Arabidopsis thaliana: one gene and its partners. The protein of the gene in region 1 interacts with the protein of each later gene in a pairwise test. Each region holds a gene or a part of one and is shown on either strand. Other genes may lie near its edges.

Region 1 (4,741 bases):
ATTAGTCTCCACCATACAAATTTGGTAAGAAGAAAAACAATGATAAGATACCAGTGGCCTAATGCAACTAAAGCAGTTTGAGGAAGAGGATGGAAGATCTTTCGCGGTCCAAGTATATCATGGCTACACAAAATCACTGCTCTTTTTGCGTTCCTTTATTCTTGAGTATCTTCACGTTTAATTTACTATTATTTTCTAATGAAAAATTGTACACCTTTTTATATATATGAACTCTTTGTTTTTTCGTTAGTTGCTCGTGTAGTAAATTAAACATATATGCTCATAATCAATAAAAACATACAATGTTAGAAGAAAAAAATACAATTTTTTTTACTAACGAATCATATGAATAGTTGTTTTATATACGGTACATTAACGATCCTCTCATCAGCTTTATAGATAACGAAGCATATTATTCTCCTTAGTTCCGCTTTTTATCACTTGAGATTAAACTCTACTCACAGGTTTAAGCACGTAAATTAGTTACTAAATAATGGATTTGACATTTACGCTTTGCATGCTTATATATGTTACCCATAATTATTTCCCTTTAGTTACTTAAAGTTACCAAAATCAACTACTTCAAGATTCTCCAATCAAAAGAAGCGTGTAAAAGCCTCTATAGTTATATAGTAGTATATAGACCTTGAAGATTTCTTTTTGAAGAAAATATGATTATACTGAGTTCAAAAGGTCGAAAAGAAATAATAAAGGTAGAATCCCTTTACATGATGTGTGGAACAACTTTTCTTGACCTCCAACTTCTTGGGATCGTGGGAAATATATAGGAGAATCTAATCGGAAGTTGTACAGAACGTGTAAGAACTAAGAACCATATTCACTTTGTTGTCATTGTTATAAGATTCAAGATTCTTTGACCGGCGCGTGAAAAAAGCATCCACCTATAGGCTCAAGATTCGTGTCCAAGAAAATATCGAGAACCGATGATTACTTGGAAAGTGGACCATTTTTTAAAAAATCAAAAATTAAAAAAGGAACGTAGCTCATGCGAATAGTTTAGTCCACCAAAGTGAAATGGTAGAACATTTGGTTTCAGTTTAGTTGTGTGTATTTTTATTAAAGGCTTCAGAATCAATTTCGATTTTTGAAAAATGAGTTTTTATAGCCATGTTAGTATGTTACGAGGATGGAAAAGCAACCTAGCTAGATTATCTTGTGATATGTGTTATTGTTCAAGAGAAGTAGGGGCAGTAGTTGTCGAGATCATGTTATTAGTGTCGCTGGAATGTTAGATATTGCCCATCCTGTCTCTTTTTCCCCATCGTGCCCTAAAAGTCAAACTATGCATGGTATTAGCTAATCTTGAATAGGTTTAATTCAGTACGGAAACTCTAATTGAAAACTACCTTCATGGAGTAATAGTTATCGAGGAACGATGATGAGGTATTAGTGGAGATAAGCAGATTTGGACTCAATATCAAAAATTAATGGTGGGATCCATTTCCGTTTCACCTAATATACATAGTGGCAAACAAAAAACAAATATAAGAAGAAAAGATTCAGTATCGAGCATTCTAGCTATGTCGGTAACGTGACAAAGTCCTTTTTTTCGTTTGTCTGTTTCTTTAAAGTTAATCAAATCGGCCAACGCTGCCTCAACAACGAGCTTCCTTTTTCTAACGTCCCTAATTTGCCACGTCCATTTTCTGGACTAGTCCCGGTTTAAAAAATCTTCAGAGATGTATTCGTGGTCAACTTCATTAACTCTTTCTCTTGAGCCCTTCATTAGTTATGATCTTATTTACTTTTTAAAAATCTAACCAAGTACTGTATATTATATATGTGGTAGCCAAAATATTATGTTAAATTCTAGGCTAATCCGATATATCAAGAAAAATCAATATATAAAAATGGAGAGCTATTTTTCACGAGTTAAGTGAGAGAGATGAGTAAAGAAAGGCACGGGAAGGTGAAGAGAGTGTAGGTTTCCAGCTTCTTCCCCAAGAAATAAAATGTATTTGACTTTGTCTAAGCAAATATGTCGTCACTTTAACGTCATTCATTACCTAGAATGCAATTAAGATATGGCTTTTACATAAGCCACCAAATTTGGTTTTGTTGCCCCAAAATATCCCAAGAAAAGATCAACTTCTTCTTCTTACCAAAACTGTCGGCGTCGTCTCCTCTAAGCTCCTCCCATGGAAGCAGAAGAAGGTCATCAGCGTGACCGCCTCTGCGACTATTGCGACTCCTCCGTGGCTCTTGTCTACTGCAAAGCTGACTCCGCCAAGCTCTGCCTCGCCTGCGACAAGCAAGTCCACGTCGCCAACCAACTCTTCGCCAAACACTTCAGGTCACTTCTCTGCGACTCCTGCAACGAATCTCCCTCTTCCCTTTTCTGCGAGACTGAAAGGTCTGTTCTTTGCCAGAACTGCGACTGGCAACACCACACCGCCTCTTCCTCCCTTCATAGCCGCAGACCCTTTGAAGGATTTACCGGCTGTCCCTCCGTGCCTGAGTTGCTGGCCATCGTTGGCCTCGATGACCTCACTCTCGATTCCGGATTGCTTTGGGAGTCACCTGAGATCGTTAGCCTCAACGACCTTATTGTTTCGGGCGGGTCGGGTACTCATAACTTCCGGGCCACGGATGTTCCTCCTCTGCCTAAGGTATAACTTGCTCTGTTTTTTTTCTCGAGCCAATTGCTCGGTTTTTATATTTCTCTGAAATGTTTTGAAATGCTCCAGAATCGTCACGCCACCTGCGGGAAATACAAAGATGAGATGATCCGACAGCTCCGTGGACTATCCAGATCTGAGCCTGGTTGTCTGAAATTTGAAACCCCAGATGCTGAGATCGATGCCGGGTTCCAATTCCTAGCGCCGGATTTGTTTTCTACATGCGAGCTGGTAATAGAGACTGCTATTGGTTGTGTTTTCTTGTGCTTGTCAAATGATTTTCCAGCTTATAAATCTCTCTTGTCAATATGAAGGAGAGTGGACTGAAATGGTTCGATCAGCAAGATCATGAGGACTTTCCATATTGCTCTCTGCTAAAGAACTTGTCGGAGTCAGATGAGAAACCTGAGAATGTAGACCGAGAGTCATCGGTGATGGTTCCCGTTTCCGGCTGCTTAAACCGATGTGAGGAAGAGACTGTGATGGTTCCGGTTATCACTAGTACAAGGTCGATGACACATGAGATCAACAGTCTTGAGAGGAACTCTGCTCTCTCTCGCTACAAAGAAAAGAAGAAGTCTCGAAGGTAAACAAGCTAATTTAAAAAGTGAGACACCACCAATAGGATTGGGATTTGAATCATGTGTTGATGAAACAGGTACGAGAAACACATCAGGTATGAATCACGCAAGGTTCGTGCAGAAAGCAGGACAAGAATCAGGGGACGTTTCGCCAAGGCAGCAGATCCATGAATGATGATGAGGTTACTTTGATAATCAAAAATCTTTTGTATTAATCGAATCATATAGTGTGTATGATCAGATAAGTTTTTGTATTCTAAGCTTAGGAGTTATCACTGTATATCGACCACACTCTCAAAATTGTCACTTAAGAATAGTTTTTTTTTTGTTTTGCCTCCGATTCCTAATTTGCCAAAGGGCAAGCATGGACGAGCACAGAACAAAACATGGTTCACAGTTATATACAATCTCAAGACAAGCAAGCAGCAAAAGAACTTGTTGTAATGTTAGAAAGTGAGATTGGACCCATTAAAGATCCATGGAGCAAGAAGGGCTTGATGTAATTGATATTATGGGCTCAAGTTGTAACATAGTAAACCCAATATAGGTTGGCATGTTTGGGCCATTTTCTTTTAAAGCCCAAATATAAAAGCGTCTCTTCCCGATGGCCGGCGAAACAGAAATTCCGCTGCCGTCGCAGCTTTCACTCTTGTTTTTTTATTCAGATGAAATTGGATGGCCGATGAAGACAAACATCCAAAGGCATGGGCTCGCGGCAACAACTATTTGCAATCTACCAATATATAATAATCTGAGGCAGTATAAAAATACAAAAAAAAATGACAACACTTTTTGGCAGATCATTCCTGCTACGATGAATCTGTCCCAATGATAATCTGAGAAGTAAAGTAAGTTTTGGTTGAACAAGGAATCTGGAGTGGGTTTTACTTGTTGAGCAATCAGTAAGCACTAAATCATGTATCAGAGTTGTGGTTATATTCTCTATGTTCTTCTTAGAATTCAAATATGAATCTGACTTGGAGTTCTTTATTTTAATGATGGTTAATTTTACTGTTAATATTTTTGGATTTGAACATTTGGTGAAGAGTGGTTGCAGCTTGAAGCAATTTTGCATCTCTCACTCTTCGTTTACTGTTTGTTGACGTTGAAGATTAGGCCCCAACAAACTTGTATATAAGAGCCCTTCTCTGTTTATTCTCCTGTCTTAAGAGCGCTAAATCCCTTGGAGACATCTTCACCACACTGTTCAGAGATCTGTCATGGGCCCCGGAGGACCAGGAGGACCCGGAGGACCAGGGTTCTTGCCACCGGGAGGACCAGGCTTCTTCCCACCCATTGGTGGTTTCTTTTCTGGGTTCTCCGACATGATATGTTCCTGGTAAAGACATTCTCTGTTTTGCTATGTGTTTTGTAAAGAGTTAAGTGGTTAGTCTGACTGTGGAATCTTGCAGTCTATCTTGTCTGTGCTGCTGCTGGCTGCTACGAGATTGCTTTGGCGGCCCACCGCCACAAGGACCGCCACTTCTGCCACCCTATTATTGACCACATCTGACTCCATTG
Region 2 (3,113 bases), on another chromosome or scaffold:
GATATTGGGATGATAAGTCTTGCACGCAACTGCTTAAACCTGAAAACATTAAATCTGGCGTGTTGCGGATTCGTGACGGATGTAGCCATCTCTGCTGTAGCTCAGTCTTGCCGGAATCTAGGGACTTTAAAGTTAGAGTCTTGTCATTTGATAACTGAGAAAGGTCTTCAATCGCTTGGATGTTACTCCATGCTTGTTCAAGAACTTGATCTTACTGACTGTTATGGTGTAAATGACAGAGGTAATAGAAAGATATATGTGAACTCAAACCTCCGTTTGTGTTTTAGATATTGTCATCTTTGGTATCTTACGGTTTTTTGTTCCGTTGGGACCGCAGGGCTAGAATATATCTCGAAGTGTTCGAATCTTCAAAGATTGAAACTTGGACTCTGCACAAATATCTCAGACAAAGGGATTTTCCATATTGGTTCCAAATGTTCGAAGCTTCTAGAACTTGATCTATACCGGTACACTTTCTTGGTGGATTCTTGATGAAAAATGTGCAAGACATGTTTCGTTTTCTTACTGATTTCTGGTTTTTGAGTGCAGCTGTGCCGGTTTTGGAGATGATGGTTTAGCAGCTTTATCTCGAGGTTGCAAGAGCTTGAACCGACTCATTCTATCATACTGCTGTGAACTAACTGACACCGGGGTTGAACAAATCCGGCAGCTAGAACTTCTAAGTCACCTCGAACTTCGAGGGCTAAAGAATATAACCGGTGTTGGTTTAGCAGCCATTGCGTCCGGCTGCAAGAAATTGGGTTACTTGGACGTTAAACTCTGCGAGAATATTGATGATTCGGGTTTTTGGGCGCTCGCTTACTTCTCGAAAAACCTACGACAGGTACAAAAAATAACATTTATAGATGGAGATCTGGAAGCATCTATTGGAAACATGTTTGATTCTTGTGTTGTGTGTTTTGTTTGGCAGATAAACTTGTGCAATTGCTCGGTGTCTGATACGGCTCTATGCATGTTGATGAGCAATCTGAGTCGGGTTCAAGACGTTGACTTAGTTCATCTGAGCCGTGTGACTGTAGAAGGGTTTGAGTTTGCTCTAAGAGCCTGTTGCAATAGGCTCAAGAAGCTTAAACTTCTCGCACCTCTCAGATTCTTGCTCTCATCGGAATTGCTCGAGACGCTTCATGCTCGTGGTTGCCGCATTAGATGGGACTGAAAACATAAAGAACAACGCGGTTTCTTGTGTTGGTTAGTTTATACTGTTGTAGGTTTTTGATGTTTATAATCTCAATGTTAAAAATCAGTGAAACTTTAGTAGCGGTTTGTTTTGGATCCATATAAATGAATCGGTTTAAGTGAATTGCTGCGGTAAAATATTTTGCTATAACCGGTAAAAAAGATCGGACAACGCTTAAGTAATGATTTCTAGTTAGAAAGTTGTTGATGTGTAATAGATCTATGTGATGAACTGATGATCATATGTTTTTGAAGTCTAACAGAAAGCTAAACCAATCAGATGCAACATGTAACTCCTTTGTGTTCGAGCAATGATATGAATTATGCTTTCACATTTAACATTTGAAAACATATTTTTTAACTAAATAATTCAAAATAAGTTTTGTACAGCAAAAAATTATCTTGCAATTTTATAGAGAAAATATAGTTTTGTATTTACTTTATTTCTTTTTTCTAACACTATTAATTGGTATAATATATACACTTTAAGTAAAAATAAATCACTTTCTTTTTTCTTCTTATAATAATAACCAAATAATGTTAGTCAAACAAATAATGTTAATATCATTAAATATTCTTAACAATATACTAAATGCGTTAAGATTCATTGTTGTAAAAGTTTACCTGCTTACTATCCCACCATATCTAATCTATGCTTAAGCTTTTCCTTTATATATGCAAATCTTCAAATAAAAAAATAACAAGCCTAGAACACTAGAAACTTCAAAAAAGAAAAAAATCTTATGGAGAACAACAACGGCAACAACCAGCTGCCACCGAAAGGTAACGAGCAACTGAAGAGTTTCTGGTCAAAAGAGATGGAAGGTAACTTAGATTTCAAAAATCACGACCTTCCTATAACTCGTATCAAGAAGATTATGAAGTATGATCCGGATGTGACTATGATAGCTAGTGAGGCTCCAATCCTCCTCTCGAAAGCATGTGAGATGTTTATCATGGATCTCACGATGCGTTCGTGGCTCCATGCTCAGGAAAGCAAACGAGTCACGCTACAGAAATCTAATGTCGATGCCGCAGTGGCTCAAACTGTTATCTTTGATTTCTTGCTTGATGATGACATTGAGGTAAAGAGAGAGTCTGTTGCCGCCGCTGCTGATCCTGTGGCCATGCCACCTATTGACGATGGAGAGCTGCCTCCAGGAATGGTAATTGGAACTCCTGTTTGTTGTAGTCTTGGAATCCACCAACCACAACCACAAATGCAGGCATGGCCTGGAGCTTGGACCTCGGTGTCTGGTGAGGAGGAAGAAGCGCGTGGGAAAAAAGGAGGTGACGACGGAAACTAATAAGTGGAATACGTTTTAGGGTATTTTCAAGGGAATATGTAGTAAATAGTCATGGATCTAATTTTTTTAAAGAAATAGCCATGAGATACAATGTTCTGTCGGAAACACATGTATTATTACATGTATAACCTTAGACATTGAGGGGACAATACACTATTTGGGAGCGTGATGATTCTCGGTTTGAAATTTGAAATATTCAGAAGCTAACATTATATTCATTCTCTCGCACCAAAAGTAATATATGAGAAAATAAAAATCTTGTTTTTTCTTCACACCGCAAAATATCCTCCCAAAATCTAGCGCCGTCGTTGGCGATTGCGTTCACCGTCGGTTACTCTCATCTTCTTCAATCAAGCCCAGAACTTGATTGTCTCCTTGAAACCTTCTTCTCGTTCTTGTCGCCGTTAGCAATCCAAGTATTAATTTCTGATCCTCCCCTTGCCGACGAATCTGGTAAGGTAAGCCATTGATTTTCGTTTATTTATTGCCGATCTTCTTCTATTTCTTCCTCTTTATACTTCAATTGCATAGAAATTAACGATTGTGGCCAGATCTAAAGTTTGGTTCTTTTTCCCCTCTATCTCTATCTTCTTCTATGTCTTCCCATGT
Region 3 (5,098 bases), about 11 Mb from region 1:
GAGAATGACTAACTGTTTCATTCGCTCCCTCTTGTTCATTCACTCCCATCGTTTCATTCGCTCCCTCCTCTTCATTCGCTTCCTTGTGATTTTCATCCAAGGACTCCAGCTGTTAAATCAAGTAAAGTGAGAACCAAATTCATTTGTATTAGAAAAAAAAAAAAAAGACAATTCACATTTGCATCAGCCGATTTACTGGTTTTCTCCGGCAAAGTCTCGACCACCTCAGTGACATGTGAATGGTCAACCCATCTATTGCTTTCATTCCACTTGTTTGGTGGCTCTCCCATCTCCAAGGTCTCGTCATTCCTAATCGGAAAACTATTTAGTGGCTCTCCCAAATAGTTCGGTTGTATGCGATGGTGTTAAAGCAGATGCATGGAACATGTGCAAATACCATACTCAATTGAGAGGTGTATTCCTTGGGCAATATAACTTTGCTATATGGCTGCCACTTAATCTGAAAAAATATAATCTAAGTATTTAATATAGAACAAATGCATATGACAAAGAGATGAAATTTTGTTAGGTACCTCATCTTCCTTCATGTCTACAAGCATCTCTTGATAGTGTCCCCCACTTCTGTTGGCACAATTTTTGGTATACGGTTTATATATCTTTGCCCACTCAACCATTAAAGGAAAACTGGATGGAAATAGTTGTTGAAAGATAGTAAATCGCTCTAATGCAAATACCTACACGAAAAAATAAAAAACAATTAACATTATACAAATAATCAACATCAACATAATTAGTTTTTGTTTCACATAAAAACTTTACTTGCAGAGCAAAGACAAAACCGCAGAAAAATGTGGTTTGACCTTTAGTAAAAGCCTTCTTCCATTTGCATAAAGCGTCTTTTAGGATAGTTGAAGATGATGTCTACCCTCTAAACACACAAGATTATATGGCAGACACCACCCAAAACCAAGGCGTAACACAAACACGTAACAGTGTACAAACTTCTTCTAGACGTGCAAGGCAACCTCGAAGAAGGTCTATCATTGAAAGCGTGATCGAAAATAGTGGAAACTTTATTACGGAGTATCGTGAAAGACGGGGTGTTGTACTTTTGTATCAAGATGTTATTAACGCTCTTAGACGTCTTGATGTCCCGAAGCGTACACCATTCTGGCGGGCTGCAGTACGATGTCTTGCTCAAGCCAACTATGCATCGGCTTTTGTTGCTCTAGAAGAAGAGGAAAATATTGATTGGCTTGAAGCTATTACTGGATTCAGCAAAGACGGAGAACGTTTCGATGAGCAAGAATTGGGTTTTGGATGCAATGGTTTCATGATAAATTCAAGTTTCTAATGTTTTTAAATCAATAAAACTGATTCTAATACACTCATTTGGTAAAACCAAAAAAATCTCATAAGAAACTTACAGGATATTTTGTGTAAACCGGATAGATAAACTAAACCGGTAAGGTAAAATTAAGAAACCGGTCTGGTTAAAGATGGAAAAGGAGAGGCACTGAGAAGAGCCGAGTCATCGACCGACCGAATCATCTCTCTTCTTCTTCTTCTCCTCCTCTTAGAAGTGGGCGGTGGAGACTTCCATTACCTACAAATATCAGATTCCTCTTTTCTTCGCTCGATTCCATTTCAAAATCTGTTCTTCTATCTCCTGTTCCTGAAGAAGACGATTTCTGGGTTTGTCTAAAGTTTGGAACTTTTTTCCTGTGGAGACTTCGATTACCTACAGATATCAGATTCCTCGATTCAAAATCAAACTTTGTTCTTCTGGGTCTCTTCTCCTGTTGCTGAGGAAGAAGATTAGTGGGCTTAAGCTTTATTTTGTGGGTGTGTATGCAAAATCAAATGGAGTGGGATAGTGATTCCGATCTCAGCGGTGGAGATGAAGTGGCGGAGGATGGATGGTTCGGTGGAGATAACGGAGCGATTCCGTTTCCGGTAGGTAGTCTTCCTGGCACGGCGCCGTGTGGGTTTGTGGTCAGCGATGCTCTTGAACCTGACAACCCTATCATTTATGTTAACACTGTTTTTGAGATTGTTACTGGTTATCGAGCTGAAGAAGTTATTGGTCGAAATTGGTGAGTTTGCTCTTCTTGACTTTTACCCTAAATTTGTGGTGTTGATTTTGTTTTACTGTAGCGAATTTTGTCTCATTTGTGGTATTGGTACGATGTTACTAGAAAGCTTTGTTGAAAGCTGTTTTGACAGAAAGAAATTTATATTTCGATTCATTATTATGGTTCTTGTTGATTATGTTAGGTATTATTAGCTAGAACCATTTTGGAATCATGGGTTGGTTATTGAATTAGAAGTTTGTTGTGGAGGAACTAAGCTATAATGTGAGGTTCAGTTTGTAATGTTTCCTATGTCTGTGGATTAGTGTTTAGGAACTCGAACTTTGATAGTTTTTCACATGTCTTGATTGGTTTATGAAAGCCTTGGGATTATTGATTTTTGTAATATTGAATTGTAATGCGTTTTTGTCTAAGTATATATGTTTCTGTTGAATATGTTTCTCTTGGGTTTTAGCGGCTTTTGATCTGGTATTCCATGTTAATTATGCATATAGTTTAGTCTTTGTTCAATACTTGTGTGTGAGGAATTGTTCGCCAAAGTACTGTATCTGTTTAGTTGTTAGTTATCTATTCGATGAATTGAATAGGAGGGTCTTGTATCTGATTTGTGCTGTTGTTTTTTATTTGGCAGCCGTTTCTTGCAATGTAGAGGGCCATTTACTAAAAGAAGGCATCCAATGGTAGATTCTACAATTGTAGCGAAGATGCGACAATGTCTAGAAAATGGCATCGAGTTTCAAGGCGAGTTGCTCAACTTTCGGAAAGATGGATCTCCCTTGATGAACAAGCTGCGTCTAGTCCCTATCCGTGAAGAAGACGAAATCACTCATTTCATAGGCGTTCTCTTATTTACAGATGCAAAAATTGATCTTGGCCCATCTCCTGATTTATCTGCAAAAGAAATTCCTAGAATATCTCGCTCATTTACTTCTGCTTTACCAATCGGAGAGCGTAATGTTTCTCGTGGACTCTGTGGGATATTCGAACTGAGTGATGAAGTAATAGCTATCAAGATATTGTCACAGTTGACTCCTGGTGATATTGCATCGGTTGGTTGTGTATGTAGGCGGCTCAATGAGTTGACAAAGAATGATGATGTGTGGAGAATGGTCTGTCAAAACACATGGGGTACCGAGGCAACACGTGTTCTTGAGAGTGTTCCCGGTGCAAAAAGGATTGGTTGGGTGCGACTGGCCCGAGAGTTCACCACTCACGAAGCAACAGCATGGAGGAAGTTTTCAGTTGGAGGTACTGTTGAGCCTTCTCGGTGTAATTTCAGCGCATGTGCAGTTGGGAACAGGATTGTTATCTTTGGCGGGGAAGGTGTGAATATGCAGCCGATGAATGATACATTTGTGTTGGACCTTGGCTCGAGTAGTCCCGAGTGGAAATCTGTTCTGGTCAGCTCTCCTCCTCCGGGTCGCTGGGGTCACACACTTTCTTGTGTCAACGGTTCCCGTTTAGTAGTGTTTGGAGGTTACGGGAGCCACGGATTACTCAATGATGTGTTCTTATTAGACCTTGATGCAGACCCACCAAGCTGGAGGGAAGTATCCGGATTGGCCCCTCCAATACCAAGATCATGGCACAGTTCGTGCACACTTGATGGCACTAAGCTGATTGTATCTGGTGGTTGTGCTGATTCAGGAGCTCTACTCAGCGATACATTCCTGCTTGACCTATCGATGGATATACCTGCTTGGAGGGAGATACCGGTTCCATGGACTCCCCCATCTCGCCTCGGGCATACTCTAACTGTCTATGGTGACCGCAAGATTCTTATGTTTGGCGGTCTAGCTAAAAACGGTACTTTGAGATTCCGCTCTAACGATGTATACACGATGGATCTTAGCGAGGATGAACCGAGTTGGAGACCTGTGATTGGGTATGGATCTAGCCTCCCCGGAGGCATGGCAGCTCCACCACCAAGGCTGGACCATGTGGCAATCAGCCTTCCCGGTGGTAGAATCTTGATCTTTGGTGGTTCGGTTGCAGGGCTTGACTCGGCTTCTCAGCTTTATCTTCTTGATCCAAATGAGGAGAAACCGGCATGGAGAATACTGAATGTTCAGGGAGGTCCGCCGAGGTTTGCATGGGGACACACAACATGTGTGGTCGGAGGAACTCGATTGGTCGTATTAGGTGGTCAGACCGGTGAAGAGTGGATGTTAAATGAAGCACATGAACTGTTACTAGCAACTTCTACCACTGCAAGTACTTGATCAAGTGATGAAGTTAAAAAGGCATTTAGATGTGTTGGACAAAAGATCTATACATTGATCAAAAACATGTTCATATTGTCTGTACATGGTGAGTTTGATACGTCCATGTTTTGTTCATCTGTTGACTTAATGTTTTTTTTTTGTATATGCAATATTACGAATTGGATTGTACATAACGTCTTTTGTAGTGCAAGTGGCCAAATGATCTAAATCCAAACCTTTTTTTTTGTCCTCCCAAAATGTTTCATGTCTGATTGAAATCAAAATTATTGTGTTTAGGGTTTAGATCTTTTCTCCACGGATCATATAATAATTGTTTTTTTTTTTGAAGAATTATTAAGAAAAAAAAGGACCAAAAAAAAGAAAAGAAAGATTCGTCGGAAAAAGCAGGAAAAAAAAAAGAATGCAAGAAATGTGAAGTGTGTTTGACTCTTTCATTGGTCAGTGTGAAAAGTAAAGTACATTTACACTTGCAAGAAAAAAAACACAGAGACGAACCAAAACCTCACTCTCTCCCCTGAAACTAATCTTCCACTTTTTCACTGTCTGCAACTTGCAACTACAACTAGCAAGCAAGAACCTTTCTTCTTCTTCTTCTTAATCTCAGATTCTTGTCTGAAAACTTTCTCTTTCATTTTCTCTCAATTTAACACTTTCAAGATGCCGATCAACAAAGACCCATCAACACCTCCTCCTGTTATCGGAAAAATCGGTCCTTACACTGTCTTTATGACTCCTCCTGCGACTCCTAAACCACCTGAATCTCCCTCCGCTGTGTCTCAGAAGCCTGTGATGGCACCACCGGTTCTTCCTCCGCCGCAG

Evidence for each region. The genes of interacting proteins can lie anywhere in the genome.
Region 2: the proteins of AT2G47890 (region 1) and NF-YC8 interact in binary tests that used the Arabidopsis thaliana proteins (3 or more experiments, as listed by UniProt).
Region 3: the proteins of AT2G47890 (region 1) and LKP2 interact in a two-hybrid assay, tested with the Arabidopsis thaliana proteins (one study listed by BioGRID).

Annotation. Positions count from the first base shown.
Region 1 is NC_003071.7:19,606,086-19,610,826, forward strand, and holds AT2G47890 (B-box type zinc finger protein with CCT domain-containing protein), read left to right. Parts: upstream 1-1,910; 5' UTR 1,911-2,159; coding exon 2,160-2,630; intron 2,631-2,708; coding exon 2,709-2,870; coding exon of another isoform or gene 2,871-2,951; exon of another isoform or gene 2,952-2,953; coding exon 2,954-3,225; coding exon of another isoform or gene 3,226-3,229; exon of another isoform or gene 3,230-3,297; coding exon 3,298-3,391; 3' UTR 3,392-4,202; downstream 4,203-4,741.
Region 2 is NC_003076.8:9,940,127-9,943,239, reverse strand, and holds NF-YC8 (nuclear factor Y, subunit C8), read left to right. Parts: upstream 1-1,792; 5' UTR 1,793-1,940; coding exon 1,941-2,504; 3' UTR 2,505-2,571; downstream 2,572-3,113. Other genes in the region: AT5G27920 (F-box family protein), read left to right, coding at 1-241, 338-467, 550-844, 932-1,177. UniProt on the Arabidopsis thaliana protein: Stimulates the transcription of various genes by recognizing and binding to a CCAAT motif in promoters.
Region 3 is NC_003071.7:8,193,970-8,199,067, reverse strand, and holds LKP2 (LOV KELCH protein 2), read left to right. Parts: upstream 1-1,584; 5' UTR 1,585-1,812; coding exon 1,813-2,057; intron 2,058-2,685; coding exon 2,686-4,276; 3' UTR 4,277-4,556; downstream 4,557-5,098. Other genes in the region: AT2G18920 (uncharacterized protein), read left to right, coding at 908-1,315; AT2G18910 (hydroxyproline-rich glycoprotein family protein), read left to right, coding at 4,937-5,098.